Linked DNA regions of Drosophila melanogaster. The protein of the gene in region 3 interacts with the protein of the main gene of each other region in a biochemical or structural test. Each region holds a gene or a part of one and is shown on either strand. Other genes may lie near its edges.

The links. Proteins that work in one complex are often made in the same cells at the same time.
Region 1: of the proteins of Rab11 (region 3) and pcs, one has a biochemical effect on the other in vitro, tested with the Drosophila melanogaster proteins (one study listed by BioGRID).
Region 2: the proteins of Rab11 (region 3) and sau form a complex in vitro, tested with the Drosophila melanogaster proteins (one study listed by BioGRID).

Annotation. Positions count from the first base shown.
Region 1 is NT_033778.4:14,979,715-14,984,307, forward strand, and holds the start of pcs (parcas), read left to right. Parts: upstream 1-1,548; 5' UTR 1,549-2,067; coding exon 2,068-2,109; intron 2,110-4,593.
Region 2 is NT_033779.5:2,224,411-2,231,644, reverse strand, and holds sau (sauron), read right to left. Parts: upstream 5,304-7,234; 5' UTR 4,577-5,303; coding exon 4,364-4,576; exon of another isoform or gene 4,340-4,363; intron 4,282-4,339; exon of another isoform or gene 4,041-4,281; intron 2,380-4,040; coding exon 2,252-2,379; intron 2,189-2,251; coding exon 2,070-2,188; intron 2,008-2,069; coding exon 1,832-2,007; intron 1,768-1,831; coding exon 1,519-1,767; 3' UTR 546-1,518; downstream 1-545. Other genes in the region: CG15387 (uncharacterized protein), read left to right, coding at 5,440-5,586, 5,644-5,847; papi, read right to left, coding at 6,405-6,901, 6,960-7,066, 7,119-7,234. UniProt on the Drosophila melanogaster protein: Phosphatidylinositol-4-phosphate-binding protein that links Golgi membranes to the cytoskeleton and may participate in the tensile force required for vesicle budding from the Golgi.
Region 3 is NT_033777.3:21,109,810-21,116,669, forward strand, and holds Rab11 (Rab11), read left to right. Parts: upstream 1-1,598; 5' UTR 1,599-2,006; coding exon 2,007-2,046; intron 2,047-4,136; coding exon 4,137-4,258; intron 4,259-4,943; coding exon 4,944-5,292; intron 5,293-5,441; coding exon 5,442-5,575; 3' UTR 5,576-6,337; downstream 6,338-6,860. Other genes in the region: rtet (tetracycline resistance), read left to right, coding at 210-385, 443-748, 807-898; ppan (peter pan), read left to right, coding at 6,495-6,824.

The sequences.
Region 1 (4,593 bases), on a different chromosome or scaffold from region 3:
AGCTGAATTTAGAAGTTGTGGTGTATCTTGTAATGTTTTATGTACTTCAACTTAGTTAAGTTCAATTTGTTTTTGTATTTCTTATTCCAATTGCGTGTGGAGAAGCATTTATATTGGATCGTATTCTGTATCATTTCGATATGCACACTGTGTAGTAAAAAGCAACTACAACTGAAAAGCTTTGGACAAACCATGTATACTTTTGTACTTTTCCTAAACTCTCCTCCCATTCCCGAAACTATGAGTGTTAACAATACAAAATGAAAATAACCAAGTAAAAGAATGGTAAATGAAGCGCAACATGCATATATGCAGAACTTGCATAGTTATTATATAGCATAAAATATATATAATTCGATATATAAATAAATATTTAAACGAAATCATTTATATGGACAAGTATTTAGTGGTTTGATACTATACGACAGAGGAGGAATCAACAAATAAACCACACGGCACACTCTTAAACAAACACAATGAAAGTCAGGCAAGAACTACTATTTAAAGATCCCATTCAGACAATTTCAAATTGTATTATTCTAGAATTTTGTACCTTAGTTCTTTGTTCATTTTTTTCAAATCACGCTGCACAGAAATGTTTCTTTTTGTTATGATTACAACTAAAATCAAACTATATGAAATGAATGTATAATTAAGTGTTATTCCATACAAAGTAAAAAGATGCATTATATAAAATATAAATCTTATATTAGCGTTAAATTAAGAAATCAAAAATAAAAGAAGGAAACGAATCCATCTTTATAAATTATGTTTAATCGGGCATTGATGCTGAATAACGTATGAAATTCCGTGGTATACAACTGAATTGCCTTCTTCTTTATAATTTACATAAATAAAAATCTTTTAGTGAAAATTTTGTTTTTTGAGAGTATTTTCGGTTTTCTGTTAATTGCGCTCAGTTAAAAATATGTTTGGTGCGCATATCATTAGAGGAAATTGGAGTATTCGATTTATAAACGCATATAAGGAAAAGTAAACAAATTAAATACGAAAAAATCACAAACATGTAAAGCACATAAAGGGCAAAACAAAAATGATGAAAACAAATAACAAATAAAGTAAACTTTCATAGTAAAATGTTTCTGGTTTTAATGCATATTTTGTTACTTAGTCAGACCTATTTATTTATATTTCATTAATACGTATTTAGCAACTTTAACAAAAATCCTTTTTGAAACAAAATTTTTTTAATTATTCATAACGTTACGAAGTGAATCAACTACGTAACGTGATGTGATGGTTATGTAGATGAGGCATATGACGTAATGGTAAGAGAAAATACCAAGCCCGCCAAGAGTAATTTTGAAGACTAATATGTTAACTTAGCATTTTTTTAAATATAAATTGTTACATTATCAAACTGGTGCAATGAAAATCAAACATTTTTTTAATTGTTTATTTTTCTTGAAAATAGTTGGCAACAATGCCAGCGTTGTAATGAAATATACCAATACAATAAAAATACCAAATGTTTATTTCAGCAACTGCTGGTCAGCATTTCACTATCTGGTAACACCGCGCTGCGGTCACACCGAATTCAGCTTCTCATTTCGTCGCGTCTGGACGCGTCTTTAATTTTTAGGATAGTTTAGCCTTTATAAGCGAGTTAATTAAATATCTTAGATGCCCCGAGCGAAGGAGAAGGTGAAAAGCCGCGTGCCCTGTCCACTTGTACCGTTCGTCTTGTTCACACTTAATGTAATCGCCATGTGTCCCTTTCCCTTTTCGCTTTTAACTTCGTTGTGAAACATAAGACGCAAAATGAAATATTTGTTTTAATACTGCTGCTGTACCCGCATAGCAAATTGCCAGTTAAAATTGCCAACACCAATTTACATAATATTATAGAAAAAAACACAGAAAAAAAAAAGAAAAACAAAACACACAAGCAAATTGATAGTCGTGGGATGTGTCTGTGTAGCAACGAGATCAAATAGTGAAATGCAAAAGCGTTTTTCAATTGAAAAGCGGGCTGCAGAAAAGTGAAAATTAACGCGTTTAGCGATATATTTGCATTTGGAACGAATTCAGTGAAAACCAGTAAAAATGTCGAGTGCAGAAGACGGCGAGCTGGATCCCCAAATTCAGGTGATTTTCCTTCGGCAATTTGCCTGCTGTCCTTCCTATTTTCTCCCCCTCTCTCTCTCATTGTATGCCTCTCTCTTTCGTACCTGGCACTGAATGGAACGGTATTTTAATGACAATAACAATATTCAGGCTGCTTTGTTTTTGGTTTGCTTGCTAGTTCTCTCTATCACCTGCTCTTCTTTGCAGTGCAGTTTTTGTTGGTACAGTGCATACCCGATTCGGTGAATTGTGAAGACCGAGGGTATCCACTGTACCAAAGTGATAAATGTGCACCTAGATTTTCATACAAAAATATGTTTACAACTTACAAGCAAAAAACATAGAGCACTGTATTTTGGAAATAGGAAACAGGCGTTTTTGCATTGCATTTCGTTACTCATTTATTGCGTGAACCTTTTTTACGCTTTGTTGGTTTTCAAAAACGATACAACAGCAAAAACCAACACAGAAAATCAATTTACGAGCCATTTAAGCAAATTGCAAGTTTCCTTTTCCGACGAACTATTCAATATGCATTGTAAAACCGAAAACAATACAAAGTGCAGGAAAAAAGGGATCACAAAGGGTGTCAAATAATCCCACGCACTTCCAAGTAAACTGGTTTTTTTTTTCTTTTTACCCGCAACGGATTTGAACTCGGTACCTAAATGAGATTCAAGTGCAACTTGGTTATTGCTCTTTATCTTTCGCCCCTTCTTCTTTGCTCATCTCTTCGCATTTTTGGGAGAGAGGAGGAGGTATGCATACAAATTTAATAAATGGAAATACCAAAGCGCACACGCAAGCCAAAGCAGCAACAACAAAAAACAAACACGCCTTTGTTTCTATTTCGAGTATTTTATATATTATTGTGTAAGCCAGACAATTGAAAAGTGTCTTGAAGCGCAAGTCGCAGTTTTTGCATAAATCAAGATTCATATGCTGCTCATTCAACTGCGCAAAATAGTCGCACACTCGCCTAATAGCCTTAAATGGGCAGGAAATAATACGAGTCTGTAAAAATAAAAACTCAAATCGGATGAGTATAGTGAAAAACACAATGTTTCCAAACCGTGATCAATAGGAGAATATATTTATGTATATGAGTATATAAGTATAAAATGGTTATTCAAGTTAAAAACACCTTTATCCAGGGCGATCAATCGAATGGTACGTCCATTGTGAGAATACCCCCTACATAGACAAAGGAAAATCCCGGTGTAGACCTACAATAATTCCTATTTTTAAATGCAAAACTTAGTGGGAGAGACGCCACACGCGGCGCAAAGTCATTAACAACAATTTGATTTCGAACCCAGAAGACAGACGGCATGTGACTAGATTGGATTCGTCGATAATGTCCGAAAGTACATATGTATAGGTATGGGAAAATGTGTAGGAGATATTCACTTTGTCTATAAACAATCTTTAGTGCGGCTCTATAAACCAAATACAAAACTGTACCGAAACCGGTTAAGAATTCTACGAAAAACCGCATGCTACATTATACAAAAAAACGCGAAATATTTTGCTCCGCCTATTTTTGCCTTCTTTCTCAATGTTTTTATGCTCGACTTCCTCTTTCGACAAGTCGACTTTGTTGTTTTTTTGCCTTCGATTTGCCAATGATTTATCAATGAGCATTTGGCGTTCTTCTTTTTTTTTTATTTTGCGCGTGCAAAATTTCTTATCTAAAGAGATGTTTTCAAGTTGATGACGCCAAACAATAGACAAAGAATAGGCACCGCGTCGATGTCGCAAAGTCTATTTAACCAAAAACGTGTGTCCTAACAGATGTTTTTTGTAAACAATTCCACACGCGTCAGTTAACTTAAAAATATGGTCATTTGCGTGCTACGGATTTGTTTTTCGAGCCCCAAACTTTCTAATCTCATACCAATCCACATCAAAGCGTCACTTATCGATTAGATGATAATTGCTTTATTAAAAAAACAAAGGGGCCTTTTTTTACGATAGAAATTAGTGAGAAAAGCTTTGTAGCAATTTAAAAATAAATTAGTAGCCTTGCCCCATTTGATAATTAGATTAGCAAGGGAAACTTTATGTGCAGGTGAATTTGATAAAAAATTATAAATGACTAATGAAGTCGGCTATCTCTGGTCTCAGTTACGTAAGCAAGGTGAGAGTACGGGTATCGCGAATTAGAGAACTCGATCCAGGCGTCTATGAATCAGAAAATCGTGTCCGAAAAGTGAGTCAACGTCTACTCTATATATGTAAAAATATACCGTAAAGGTGTCTCCCAAAAGTGTATATGATATTCTTTATGCTTATCTTTTATTGCGAATACGAACTTGTGCTTATATCGCAAGATTATTTATGTGCATACAATACAAAGTTCATAACCAGTCCCGATAAAAACTGCATTTAATACTACATAGCACTCTTCATATTTGATGAATAAGTTTGCTCTCATTTATTTATTATTGAGTTTACTTTTTATTTTGTTTGCGCTTCCAAAACAATTACAACTTTCTCTGATCA
Region 2 (7,234 bases), on a different chromosome or scaffold from region 3:
ATTCCATGAATATGTTTAATTGTAATTACAAATTACTTGCAAATTTTCCACAGTTGAAAACTGCTAGTTGATTTAACGGATAGTATAAGAGCACTTCTTTGTTCACATCCTTTTTGGCCTAATGTATTTTTGCAATAATTTGTGCGCTGCGCCCTGCTTTTTATCATACTTTATGTCATTGAAAGATTATTATATTATAACCTAAATGTTTCGTGTGAGAATTACTCGACTTATATGGTATATTGCCCCTTCAACTATCGAAAGAAATGCAAACACTGCAAAACAAAAACACATTTATTGAGAATGAAAAACGGAATAAAAACTGTATTAAAAAGCGAATCAAAAATTGGGCTATGCTTTCAAGTAGATAAGTTAAATCGGATTGGTCGTCACACCGGAAAGAATCCTATTTCTCCTCCGACGATTGTCCACTTTTGCTTTCCCCCTTTTATTAAAACTCATCACCCATTTTTCATTAAATGTTTTATATTTTTCCTCTGATTTATGGAGGGGTACAACCGAAATTGCAATAAACTTTCAATTTTGCGTCAGTTATATATTTTATATTTGTATTTTATTAGGCCTTTAAATATCTAAGAATTAGTATTATTTGACGTGCACAGTTTACATTTACATAATTTTTCTTTTCTTGCTGTCCACTTCTTGTCGTTCTTTATTTTTCTTTTAGCAGTTAGAAAAGGTTTTTCAACTTCAATGTTCCCGAAATTCAATAACAATTTAAATTAAAACATTGCCTAGATTGAATGTCGCTCCGTGTCAAATTGTCTGCATGTCTGTCTGTTCATGTGGGTGGGTGCATACTTAAGGTCGAACGTACTAAGGTAAAATTGCGGAGCTCGAGAAACGTTTTGAACTGATTTTCTACGCGCAATCGAATACATGGAAAGGGCTCGAAAATACTTGACAATCAAAAATAGAATTGAAAAGTTTTGATAAAATATATATAGGATATTTGACAATAGACAATCGCACGCAGCTTGCCCAGACTTTATCAAAGTTTTCTTGTTGGCGCTTACAATTAGTGCTAGATATATAATTACAAAAACAATGCTGCAGCTTTAAATTTTCCATCATACATTTTGATTTGCATTGCCAGAGAAATCATCAACTAAACTCTATGTGTCGTGGAACACAACTTACTGATTATGATTGCAAAACATTGGCATGTATTATTATGCTCAACAGAACAGGAAAAAATTAAAGGACAATGGAGCGTTTGATTGGTATTATTGAAGTGTTGATAAACATATGTATATTTAAATAGGAATTATGGCTGCTTTATAGTCTCGCTTAAAAAATATATATTACTGAAACAGATATTTGGGGTGGTTGCCATTTAAGAAAATCCTATCGCCCGATTCGGTTCCACTCACAGCAAAGTTTCTAAAACAAAAGCAGCAAAATGTATTCCAGATGTGGGTCTGTATTTCTGTGTTGGGGTGTGTGTTGTGTGTGTGTGTGTGCTATTGAGAGGAGCGTAGAGGATCAGAGGATCGTCTATTTCGTGAACGCCATGAACACCGCCCACAGAATTTCGTTCGCATTCGGCTTGGCCGACTCGGCTTCGAAGTCGAGATCCAGCAGCTCCCGCACCCGCTTCATGGCCACCTCATAGTCGTCATCATTCAGCGGCGCGAAGGCGTTCTCGATCACATCGCTGGCGTGCGCCAGGAAGATAAGCGCCAGCATCCGCTTGTCCATGCGCTGTGGATCGTTGACCCACTTGGAGAGCACAGAATCTTGGATCTGAAGTCATACATTTCGGATTCAGTTTTAGAATTCTTGAATATATCCAAGTCTAGTTACGCACCTTCTTCACCAGGCGACATTTGACAACATTGTCGCTCAGCGGATGTGTCGTCATATCGAAGAGTAGAAAATTTTGCTTTTCCGTCGTGAGCACACCCTTCTCCACCAGATTTTTGGCCAGACGTTCGCGTACATTTTTCAGTTGGTAGCGCAATTTCAACGGATTCCAGGTTTCACCTGCCACAACAATAGGTTATACAAAACATACTTGGCGAAATGGCAGGCGCCTAAATACACACCACTAAGATATTCAATCCAGCTCTGCACCGTCTCCGGGGGATCTGTTTCCTTAATGTGTTTAAGTGCCTCATCGAGTAGAACGTCTCCCGTCTGCTGATCCGATTTCAGTATTAATTTCCTGTTGGCGAATTGAAGTTAGCATGCTTCTGAAAGGATGTGGAAACTAGATTTCTATACATACCTTGTACATAGACCACGTCGCCGCATTCCAGATTTCTCGATCATCACGCGACCTCGCAGTCCAAGCTCTATGAGAATGCATCCGCGCAAGCCGCTTGATATGCAGTCGTTCCAGAAAGATGTGTAGCCCTGAAAGTAATTAAAAATGCTATTAGATTCAAGCTATTTGATTGGCCTGGATGGGCATCTAAAAATAAGAATGTGTGAATGCGTTACTTGTTTATTTTTTAAAATTTTATTAAATTCTATCTAACATAAATGTAAGTACAAACTTCATTAACAAATGGTTACTGTCTCATGTTTCAAGGTTTTGAAATATATTTGAGCAAGTCTATGGTTTGGCCTTTTCACTTGTGTTGGGCGTAAAAGAAATGAATAATTACCCTGTTGCCGGGGTCGTAAAGCTCCCAGACGAAAGTATTCAGTTGTTAAAACATTAAACACTTGAGTTTGTTTAGGCCTTGCCCACAGAAGTGTATGAACTGTCAATTTAAAAAATACAATGCTTATCTAGCTAGTATAAATGAAAAAACGAACAAGAAGAGTTATGTTATAACCACATAAAAAATCAATTACAAAAATTACTCTTGTTATTAACGCTTGAAAAGCTATGATAATTGGAAGGTATAGATAGATACCTCAACCACGTTTCAATGCCATTTCACGATTTTAAAATAATTTATATAACAATCGCTCAGATGATTGATAAGGAATCGTTCCGAACGAAAGGTATAAAAGTGAATCATTTGCAAAGAACACGTCGCTTATCAGTTCGGCAGTTCGAGATATTGAAATTTTCCTAATGGATGGTGTGGGTAGAAGCCAAGTACTTTGTATAATTTCGAAAATGAGTGACGTACTGACATAAGAAAAGCCCGAAACGGATGAGAGCTAGGCAGAGGAGAGCAGCACTTGATAGTATGTACTTCCTCAAACAATTAACCAAATGGACAAAATCTTCGCGATAAGAGCGCTCGGAAGGGGAATGTAAAACAAAAGCGGGCAACACGTCCCACTGTTTCCAGCTCGTATCCCTCTTATGCGAAGGGAGAGGAGGTGGCAGGGATGGAGGTGTGGGTGGTCACACAAATACACTGCGGGCAAAATGATGAAAACAAATAGACGTGGTGCCAGCCACAAAGGCACATGTGTGCATTCCTATGTGGTACAAGCGAACAGCAATTGAGCGATAAAGCTGTGTGCCAAGTGAAATATAAAAACCGAATTCAATGGAGAAATGCGAATCTGCCTGTTCGCCATAATGGGTCACGTATGGATGATGGTTCGCATTTACGGACATCATCCCGCGCTATACGTAGATTTATGAATATTACAAACCTATGCAAATTAACCACTTATTGGAAAACTCGTTTGACGAAACCGTTCTCCGTGCTGCGCGGAGTGAAGTTCTCGAAGAGATATGTATGTATTTATAGCCACAACTGCCAACCGAAGAAGTATTAGAGCGCTATCTTTCCAACAACTAAGAACGTTGGCAACAATTCTAAGAATCTTTTTGATTTGGCACTGGAAGCAATTGCGCGATAGTGTAACACATAAAATAAACCTATTATATACTATATATAAATATATCATCACTTATTTGGGAAGTACATCAAAGTATTACAAAGGGCAAGTAATGGGTTCTATAGATTAGAATGAACGGCTGATTAGACCTTAACAGATGGAGCACACTATTAATTAATGCAAAAACAAAAGTGGTTAAGAAAATGGTGTTGGCAGTCTCACTGATTGCGCATTAGTCAGCAGGCTGGTCAAAAGATTTCATAGTGCATTGCTTAACAAACTGGAAAAGCTAAGAGAAGTGGCTAAGACATGGCATAAAATGTTTATCTGTAGGACAGATAAACATTGTTGCCCCCATAACTGAAGTGATAAGTTACCCCCCTGTATCCAATTTTCACTACGCCCCTGCTGGAAGATGGACTGCGTTGCACTTGGGGCCAAGCAAGAGGTTGCGAAAGAGAGAAATCGTGAGAGCGACAGAGAGAGAGAGACGTCGGTTAACAGGTGAAGAAGAAGCACTTATGTTGCGAAAGAAACCAATTAATTAGTGCATCCCAAGCAGATAAGAGATAAGGAGCACACCCACCTCCTTGTCCTTGAGTCCCAGCAGCAGAACCTCCTCCATGAGCGTTAGTCGTGTTTCCTTGGAGTCGCCATCGTCGATATTGTCCTCCTGGTCCTTTAGGTTGTCCAGTGCATCCTGGTTGTCGTCCGGCGTGTTGGCATTCAACCCACCCTCCGCCCCACCGTTTTCGCGGGGTTTCACCGAGCGACGCACCAATCCGTCGGAGCGATTCATTCCGGAGAGTTGGGTTGGGTAGTCGGGAAGTTCGGATCGATGGAGTTTTGGAGATGTGGGATGCGAGCGGAGCACCTATGTTTTTCTGCTGCTGCTCTTCTTCCTCTTTCCTCGTTTTGTGTGTGTGGCACAATTTGCTGACTCGACGTTGGGAGTTTCACAGTGTGTGTGTGTGTCTGTTTGCGCGAGTGCGGGTGTTTGCGTTTTTCTCTGTGTACTTGTGTCTTGTGTTTTTGTGTGTTGTTGTTTTCACTGACTCTTTTGCGCCCCCTTTATTTTGTATTCTTTTGCACACACGCACTTTTCACACTATCGCAAAAATGCAGGCCCTAAACTGCGTTTCGTTGTTGCTGCTTTGCTCGGCGTTTTTGCGCTGGGAACTCGACGGTTTGATTTACAATTTGGTGGCCCGTACTAATGGTGCATTTGCATTGGCCTTGCATTTACTGGGAATATGCGAGTGCCTGCGCGAAATAAGCTTTTTCCTATTATTTGTGTCTTTTGTCGACGTTCCGACGTGACATGATTTCCGCACTTTTCAGTACTGGCAATTTTCCAGACCTTAAGTGTTGGATAACGTTTTGCTTCTAGAGGTGCTGTTAAAACGAAATTAATTTAACTTTTACTCTTAATTTTTTGTAATTCAGCTTAATTTATTTAATCGTAAAGTTTTTGTTTGAATGATATTACAGTTCCTTGTCCATACTAAGGGTTTGGTAATGTTATGAATCCGAACCGATAGTTTGTCCGATAGTTGTAATCGCTGTATGACTCATCTCTAACGGAAACACAAAATAAAACCTACTACAATTTGTTGCATTTTGCCTAAATTCGTCACAAACACTGCCGTTAAAACGTTTATAATGTCCTACTTGACCAATTTCAACAGTGATACTGCCAAGCAAATTCTTATGGACATAATACGCTGTGTAAATCAGCCGGAAAACTCGAAGAAACTCTCAGAGGCAAAGGCTTCCGCTGGAAAAGAGATGATTCTCATGATGCAGCACGTAAATACCAAGCAAATCAAAACAAATAACCAAATAGTTTAACATAATACATTGCAGGTTTTTCCATTGGTGATGCAACTCCAACTGGAGGTCATTAAGGGTCATGGGTTTCCTGGAAACCGCGAGGGATTAGTCCAGTTCTCCCAGCTCATCAGAGAAATGGAAAGGGACGACATGGAAATCGTACGCCTGCGCAGTCAGATCCGCGCCATATACCTGCCCCCCATAGCTATAAACACCACCAACGACATCCTAATCTAAGCGTGGGGTAAATCCCCCAAACAAGACTGCAATTCTGCCCCCCGGTGGGTTTTTTAATATACTTTAAGCGACTTTTAATATTTGTAGCCCTTTTCATTTGAAGAAACTATATTCATTTTCAATTATGCCTTAACGTCATCTAGAAAATCTTATTTTCAAAGAATATTGAAATACTTCTCTAATACAGATTTCTGAAACAGGCCACCAAAATAGACTTAAGCTTGATATTCTTATAAAATGCATTTCTTTTGATAAGTTTGTGATCTTTTTTGTGTATTTTTTGTTGATGTACAAATGTTTTTCTTGTTCTTGCTAACAATAAGTAACATGGCAAAGGTTGCTATAAACAATTAAGGATCTGTGCCGTTCCATCGTCAGCTTTTAGGATCTAGGATATGTCGATCAGTCACGGCGATAAATTAAACAGTTTTCTTTCGTACCTATACAATAAGTTCCTTAAGAGCTATACTTTTATGTACACGTCAAGTAGTGAGCTGCTCGTCCAGCCTTCATCTTATAAACAATTAGGCGAGGATAATTAGTAACAATGTGAAATCCTAATGCGCGCTAGCACCATTTGTGGTGCTGGCATTATTGTTATTCCCGTTTTCGAGGTCTGTAGCCGTCAGTTTAGCCGGATTAATGTTTTTTATGTCGTTTCCGTTCAGTTTATGCTGCAAATGCTGCAGCTGCTGGGCGAGGTGCTCGTTCTCCGCCTGCGTAATGCTGTCAACATCAATGGACATCGACATAGGTGAGTGGGGCGTAAGCGGAGTCACTGGATTGCTGACGCACAACTCCTCAATGGTGGAGTCGCTGTTACTTGAGGGCGTCGAGGAGCGTGACCGCACTGGATACGAATCGTCCAGGGGCAGAGCAAAGCCCTGGGTGATCATCAGATCGGCAATATTTAGTTCAGAGTTGTCGGCTGGATCGAATAGTTCCACTCCGGGCAGCGGGGTTCCCTCCTTGGCAGCAGCACTTACAGCGGTGGTTGCCCGTGGACGCTCCTTGTAGGTCACCACTCGAGCAATCAGCTTTCTCCAATGTGCCACTACAAATGTTCGGTGTTTAGTCAAAAATATATCTAGCAACTGTTGCTGAAATCATACCCTCTGTCAGCTCTTCGAACTTTGCGATTGAAGACTTTGGCCACGTAATAGGCTCCGTCTGGATGGTAGATTTTACATTGGCCAAGAAGCATTCAACGGCTTGGAACCTAAAATAGTGAAATATAAATTTATGTCTATCCAATCAGTCGAACTGCTTACCTGAGCGTGAGGAAATCAGTGCGCAGCTCGCAGATATCAGCTGGCGAAATATATTCGCTATCTCCATAGTCCACGAAGTAGAGATCGATCACCTGCTCCTTTGGATTGTACTGGTT
Region 3 (6,860 bases):
CCCGGACTTGCCTGACTGGTTTGATAGACACTATTATCATGCCGGGTTCTCGGACACGTTTGTTTGATTGCCTTATCAGTTAGTAAATTCTAGATTGCTTTTGATTAATTGTAGTTACAGGGAATTGAGTCCAGTTAGCTAGAAGATTATTACCAATGATTATGTCTGGATTTTACAATCATATTTCAAAAGAATTCTCCCACTGACAGATTTGCTGCCATCAAAAATGTGCCTAAGAAAGACATTGCGGCACTGCGATCCATTGGCCTGGTATACTTCTTGTATCTCTTTCTGTATTCCGGCTTGGAGTTCACCGTCACATTTCTGATGTACCACAAATTCGGTTACACTTCGATGGATCAGGCGAAGATGTTTTTGACAACGGGTATGGAGCAAGTTGATAATCTACAATATTCCCTATCAAATTTGTGTCTTTTTCTAGGTGTAATCATGACTTTGCTGCAGGGATCGGTGGTCCGACGGCTGCCCGAGGCGAAGATCAAAGGCTATGCCATCTTCAGTTTGTACCTGATTGTACCCGCCTTCGTAGTAGTCGGCCTAGCCGAGGGCAGTCGGATGCTGTACGCCGGCATGACCCTGTTCGCAATCTCCACAGCCTTCGCTGTCACCTGTCTGACCACCCTCGTATCCAAATACGGAAACGATGACCAGAAGGGTTCAGTACTGGGCATATTCCGCTCACTGGGAGCTTTGGCTCGAGCTCTGGGCCCCGTGGTGGGATGCATTGGTGAGCTCCTCAGCTGTCTTAGGATTATACCTTTTCTAAACTCTTTAATCCTTAATAGCCTTCTGGTGCGTTGGCTCCAGGATCACCTATATAGCCGGCGGACTTCTGCTCATTTATCCAGCCATGGCCTTGCAACGCGCTCGCATTTAAGTGCAATAGGAATAGAGTTTTTAAACTCACTAGAGATCAACGGAAGTATTAGCTGCACATTATACTTAATTTATCGTTTTTTACAAGTATTTTATATTAAAATAAACACATTTTTACTCTGATTTGTAAGCAGGGGGTTTTTACTTGGGATCGAAATGTTTTCTATTTAATTAATTTTTTTAATAAGATAATATTAGAAACAGTTACTGCTACTGGGAGAACGATTCTGTTTAGGTTGGAACGTTTTAAGTATTCAAGACATTTTGAGTTGGAAATAAGTTAAATGGGCTAGGGATAATCCCTAGAAAATGTGTTCAGCTTTTTTAAAATACGATAGGCTTGTCGGGATGAAACGAGAGCAGTTCATGATAATTCGTCGTACCGTCTGGTAACTCTAAAACATCCATCTCGTTAATTTAGTGATGCAAGTCGATGTGAAAACATCGATAATGATATAAGTATGTTGGTGTTTTAAAATAAAACAAATAAGTTTTTTAAATAGGAAACAAACATTAGATTTATTTTCTAGACCTAATGTGTTTTAATTATGAAAAAATTTAATTCTAATTCTAAAGCTTTTGAGTATAAAACAATGTTCATATAAACAAAAATAGAAGTGACATTGTACTATCGCCTTACATCGCCATTAAGAAAATCGATAAGTATCGCCGAAATAATGTCGATGTACCGATATTTTTCAACATCTCTAGTCTCGTTGGAAATATAACGTGACGTTATTGGGAGTGACTAAGTTTTCGTGTAAGAGAAAATTGCAAATAAATGCGCTGCAAGCAGCTGCAAATCTCCAATTAATACTGCTCCAATTGCCGGAAAAGTCCTGCCAGCATTTTCGAACGCATCCGAGCTGGAAGAGCAACCGATTTCGCCACTTAAATACTGATATATACACTTTTCTCTTTCTTTACAACTACAACTGCAAATAAAAGTGTAAAGTGTGTGAGCCGACGACAAACGCATTAAAGAAATCGGCGGCGCGCAGGGATTATTGGATTTCGTTTAGCACCCGCACACACAAAACAAAAAGGACGGAACTGGATTTCCAAAGGATATCGAACCGAGCGAGCGATAGCAAAACAAATTGAGCAAAATGGGTGCAAGAGAAGACGAGTACGATTATCTGTTCAAAGGTAATTATAAACATGATACTAGCCGCTGGTCGAAGATCGCGGAAGGTTGATCAGGAGGGGAGGAGCCGCACTTCCAGGCTCTCCTCTCCCTGCCGTGAGAGACAGTGGTTCAATAGCACTAATTGAAACTAATTGGAGAATAACAAAAAGTGCACTCGAAGAGCCCAAAGTTCATGTGATGGTATGTGGTGTGTTTGTTTGCGTGAGTGTCATTAATTCCCAAAATAAGAAGTACGCCCCCCGAGTTTGTTGTTGTTGCTACTGCTGCAGTTGGATGCCCTTTGGTGGCTCTCCCGCTCTCACTCTGCCTATCTCCATCTCTTTGGGGTACTCTTTCGGACTGGAGTACGCGTACTTTGCCGTTAACTGCTTGTTTTGTCATTACAGTGCCGTTGGTCTCGCCACGTTGCATACAAAAGCCAAGCAGATCGTATTTATAATCGCTCGCTCTGTAAAGTAGGTTTAAGGCTTGCCCACCCACTCGAAATGCTAAAGTGATTAGATATCCAGTAAATAGAGCGAGAGTGTGGGTATTATGATTTCTGTACAGCTGGCTTTTGCAATGGTTTCTTGTAACTTCGTTTAGTAGCTCTCTCTCACGCGCGCTCTCTTTTTCACCCGCTCTCGATTGAAAGTTTGAAGCACAGTAGAGCAAAATGATGTATTTGCAGGTAGAAAACAAGACTTTTATCCCGCATCTTCCCCCGTTTATGTGTAGATATGTATGAACAGAGGTCACAAATTCTCAGCTCTTCTTTGTTCCCTTCGTTTGCTACTACGCCATAAATTCCAATTGCGCTTGGAAATCTCTGCTAGCTATCACAGCTGAGCAACTGTTGAATGTCATTAAAAAAATATTTAAAACTTAATCTGCCGTATTTTTTGGGTCAAGTATACAAAAAGTTAAAAAAAAAGTCATCATAATAATGCGTCAGTGTGCGGTATGCATGATGAGGCCTCAAATTTCACACATGAAACAATATTAAACGGACATGACTCACAGCCAATAACTGCTGAAGAATTCCACTCACCGATAAGCGCATAATCACATAACTGAAAATGGGCCGTTTCGGGTTATTCGAGCCAATCCCACTACTAAGTAATGACCGTCGATTACCACTCCTCCCCTTTTAATTTCTCATCGCATCCGCTTAACTAAGTGCAATTTCTCTTTAAAGATCGTTATTAGCGCTGAGAAAGAGAGTAGAAAACAAAGTGACTCAGCTCTCTCGCTGATAACTGTAACCACGCTGCTCCCAGCTGTCCACACTGAAAGAAAACCCTATACCCTCTAATTTAGCTATCTAAATTAAGTCAAAAACTTGGACTTAGCTCAAAAGTCGTTTCAAATATTTAGTTCCTATCTTAATGGCATTGCAATCGAAACTTCGAACTCAAGAATCAGTGTTCATATGATACCATTTTACTATTTGAATTTTCTCCGTGCAGCGATGACCATAGCGATAGAGCGAAAAGGTGTTTGATGAGTTATAGTTGTTGTTTTCTGAATGGATTAGCAAACATGCTGAATCAACAATGTCCGAAAAGGGTGTCAAAAATGGAAACTAATAGACAGACAGTCAGTAAACACAGTGTCTAGATATCAGTTAATATATATTATAGCCAACAACTCTGGCCGCACATAAGAAAGTTTATCAAAAAGAAATGGAGTCGTAAAAAGGTCAGTGGATAGTTTTTATCGGGTAGCATATCAACTTGGGATGCTTGTTTGCTCCCTCAAATATCCGCCACTCAATTATCCAAGAAATGTTTGCTATCGGCAATGAAGCACAATAACACGAACTCCCTAACGTCGACTGGCCCAATCATAAAACATTTCTTTCCATGGCCTGAAATCCCCCGAGCATGGCGGTTTTATGTACTCGCTGACCTTGGTGCGCCGTGCCAGCGGCGAAAGGAGGACATGACCTAGCCGGGCCACCAGCGACCATTCTGTCCGGCCGTAAAACACAAGACAGGGGCCATGCCACGCCACGCCACACCACACACCCACATAAATTATGCAACTGGGGGTCTTCGATTATCCAATGCCAATGTCGATGTCACTAATTCCCTCTAATCCTTTGCAGTTGTCCTTATCGGTGACTCCGGTGTTGGCAAAAGTAATTTGCTCTCACGTTTCACGCGCAATGAATTCAACTTGGAGTCCAAGTCGACGATTGGCGTTGAGTTTGCAACGCGCAGCATAGAGGTGAGTACGCTGGCCAAGAATTCGAGGGTGGAGTGGCCCATGGAGCTCCACCCCCACACATCTACCGCACCGCACCCACAGTGGGGGAAGTCACGGGTGAACTTGCGTGTGCGTTTCGGTGGGAGGACACGTAGTTGAGGCGTCTATCGGAAAATTGGGGGGAAAAGTTTGTTCAATTTGAGTAAGTGTCGAGAATTTCACTAAATAATGGATTGCCAATTGGCTTTCTTGCATAATTTCAAAAGCCATCCTACGGGATTAGCCAAAATGTTGACATCATAGTTGTCACTTGTGCTGAAATAATAAATTTATGTGGTCAATAACAATTATATATTACGTATGTATAAGGATTTGTGTTAAACAATACTTTGTGCCATCTTTTCGAAGTAGCTTAGTAGGTCATCTTAATATTTAGTATATCAAATGGGTTCAATGAATATAACTTACGCTACTTGCGTTTTTTCTAACTAGTGTAAGAAATTTCAAAAATTGGGTTCTCTTACTAGAGTTAAAAGCTTATCCATAAGCTCTAATTTATGTTGGTTATGTGTGAATACTGAATGCCAGTGCTTGTATATTAATTTTCAAAGCGAATGCGCCGCAGGCATTTCGTGGCGAAATTGCCAATTACTGGCACCATTCTAATGCTGTCCTTTGTTTCATCCTTCTTGTGCATCCAACGCAGGTCGATGGCAAAACAATTAAAGCGCAAATCTGGGATACGGCCGGCCAGGAGCGTTATCGCGCCATCACCTCTGCCTACTACCGCGGTGCCGTGGGGGCCCTGCTCGTCTATGACATTGCCAAGCATCTGACCTACGAGAACGTGGAGCGGTGGCTGCGGGAATTGCGCGACCATGCCGACCAGAACATCGTCATCATGCTGGTGGGCAACAAGTCCGACTTGCGGCACTTGCGCTCCGTGCCCACGGACGAGGCGAAGCTGTTTGCCGAGCGCAACGGCTTGAGTTTCATAGAAACCTCGGCCCTCGACTCAACGAACGTTGAAACGGCATTCCAGAACATACTCACAGGTGGGTCGTTCAGGATATTTTAGCTAGTCTGCTTTCAAATTATCGATCGTTTAAGAATATTTAAATACTGTAGATTAAACGCTTCATTGAAAGTCAATAGATTAATGATAACGAAGCACGACTAATGATGTCTCGTAATCCCGTTTCAGAGATCTATCGCATTGTGTCGCAGAAACAGATCAGAGATCCGCCGGAAGGCGACGTCATCCGCCCGTCGAACGTGGAGCCCATCGACGTAAAGCCGACTGTCACCGCCGATGTGCGCAAACAGTGCTGTCAGTGACCGCCCCAAGCAATTTTCGCTATTCCCCGCAACCGCCAGAACAGCAACATAAACAGAAGCAACAGCAATTACAACTACGACTACAAGAGGAGCAGCAGCGGCCAGAACTGCAACACCAAGATCAGGAGCAGCGTACACCCGATGGACCGCACAAGATGTCTATGCGTTTGTCAGCCACAGTTTGTCATGTGCGCATAAATTGATAATTCAAATCTGAGCCGCCACTCTCCACCACCAACACCACCACCATCATCAGAAGCAGCAGCAGCAGCAAAAGAATCGAAAGCAACAACATCCGGCTGTAGTTAACTGCGGTTTAAACTGAAGTTTTATATATATACAGATCCATGAGTATCGCATAAATCGACCGCCGCGGAAAGAAAGCAAGCAAAACTAAACACTCCAAATTCAGTTTAAGCTGTAGAACTATAATTTATATAAATATACATATATGCTAATATTAAAATATTAATATTATTAATTTTTCGCAACATAAATATATAGTTGTAATTTCGCGAGCAGAACAACAACAAACAACCGGAAATTCTTCGACTTAAACGCAAATTCATTACCACAGCACTGCAGCTCGGATTTTCTTCTTCGGTTTCTCGCAACATTTTAAACGATTGGCCACTTGGTAAAACTAGCTGATAAAGAGAAATCAAACAAAAACAGTTGTAAAACTTTAAATGCATAAATGAAACGAAATAACATCATTTGTGTTTGCTATGTTAAGTGTGATTAAATAAATATAATTTAAATAAAACAGAAGTGCTTTCAATTGGGCGGAAAATCGAAATTTAAAATGGGATTAGAGTGACCAAAGGCAGACGTCGGAGTGGGTGTTTGGTATTTTCCGCGCGAGCAGCCACACTGATCCATACACGTGCGGGAGAAAAGTGAACAAAAACATTGAAACATGGGCGGTAAGAAGAAAGTGCATCCGAAGACGCGCACGGCGGCCTTCAAGGCCAGCGAGCCGAGCGAGATCGTGGAGGCGCCGCACTCCTTCGTCATCCATCGCGGCCTCGCCTGTCCGTACATCACGGACCTCACCCTGGACTTCCGCCGCATTATGGAGCCCTTTACGGCCAGCAATCTGCGCGAGAAGCGGATGAACCGCATCAAGGACTTTGTCAGCCTGAGCAGCTTCTTCCACGTCTCGCACATGGGCATCTTCAACAAGGCCTCCACGCAGCTGTCCTTCAAAGTGGTCCGCTTGCCGCGCGGTCCTTCCCTGACTTTCAAGGTTTGTTTGTTTCATCGCTTAGTTTATACTGGATAT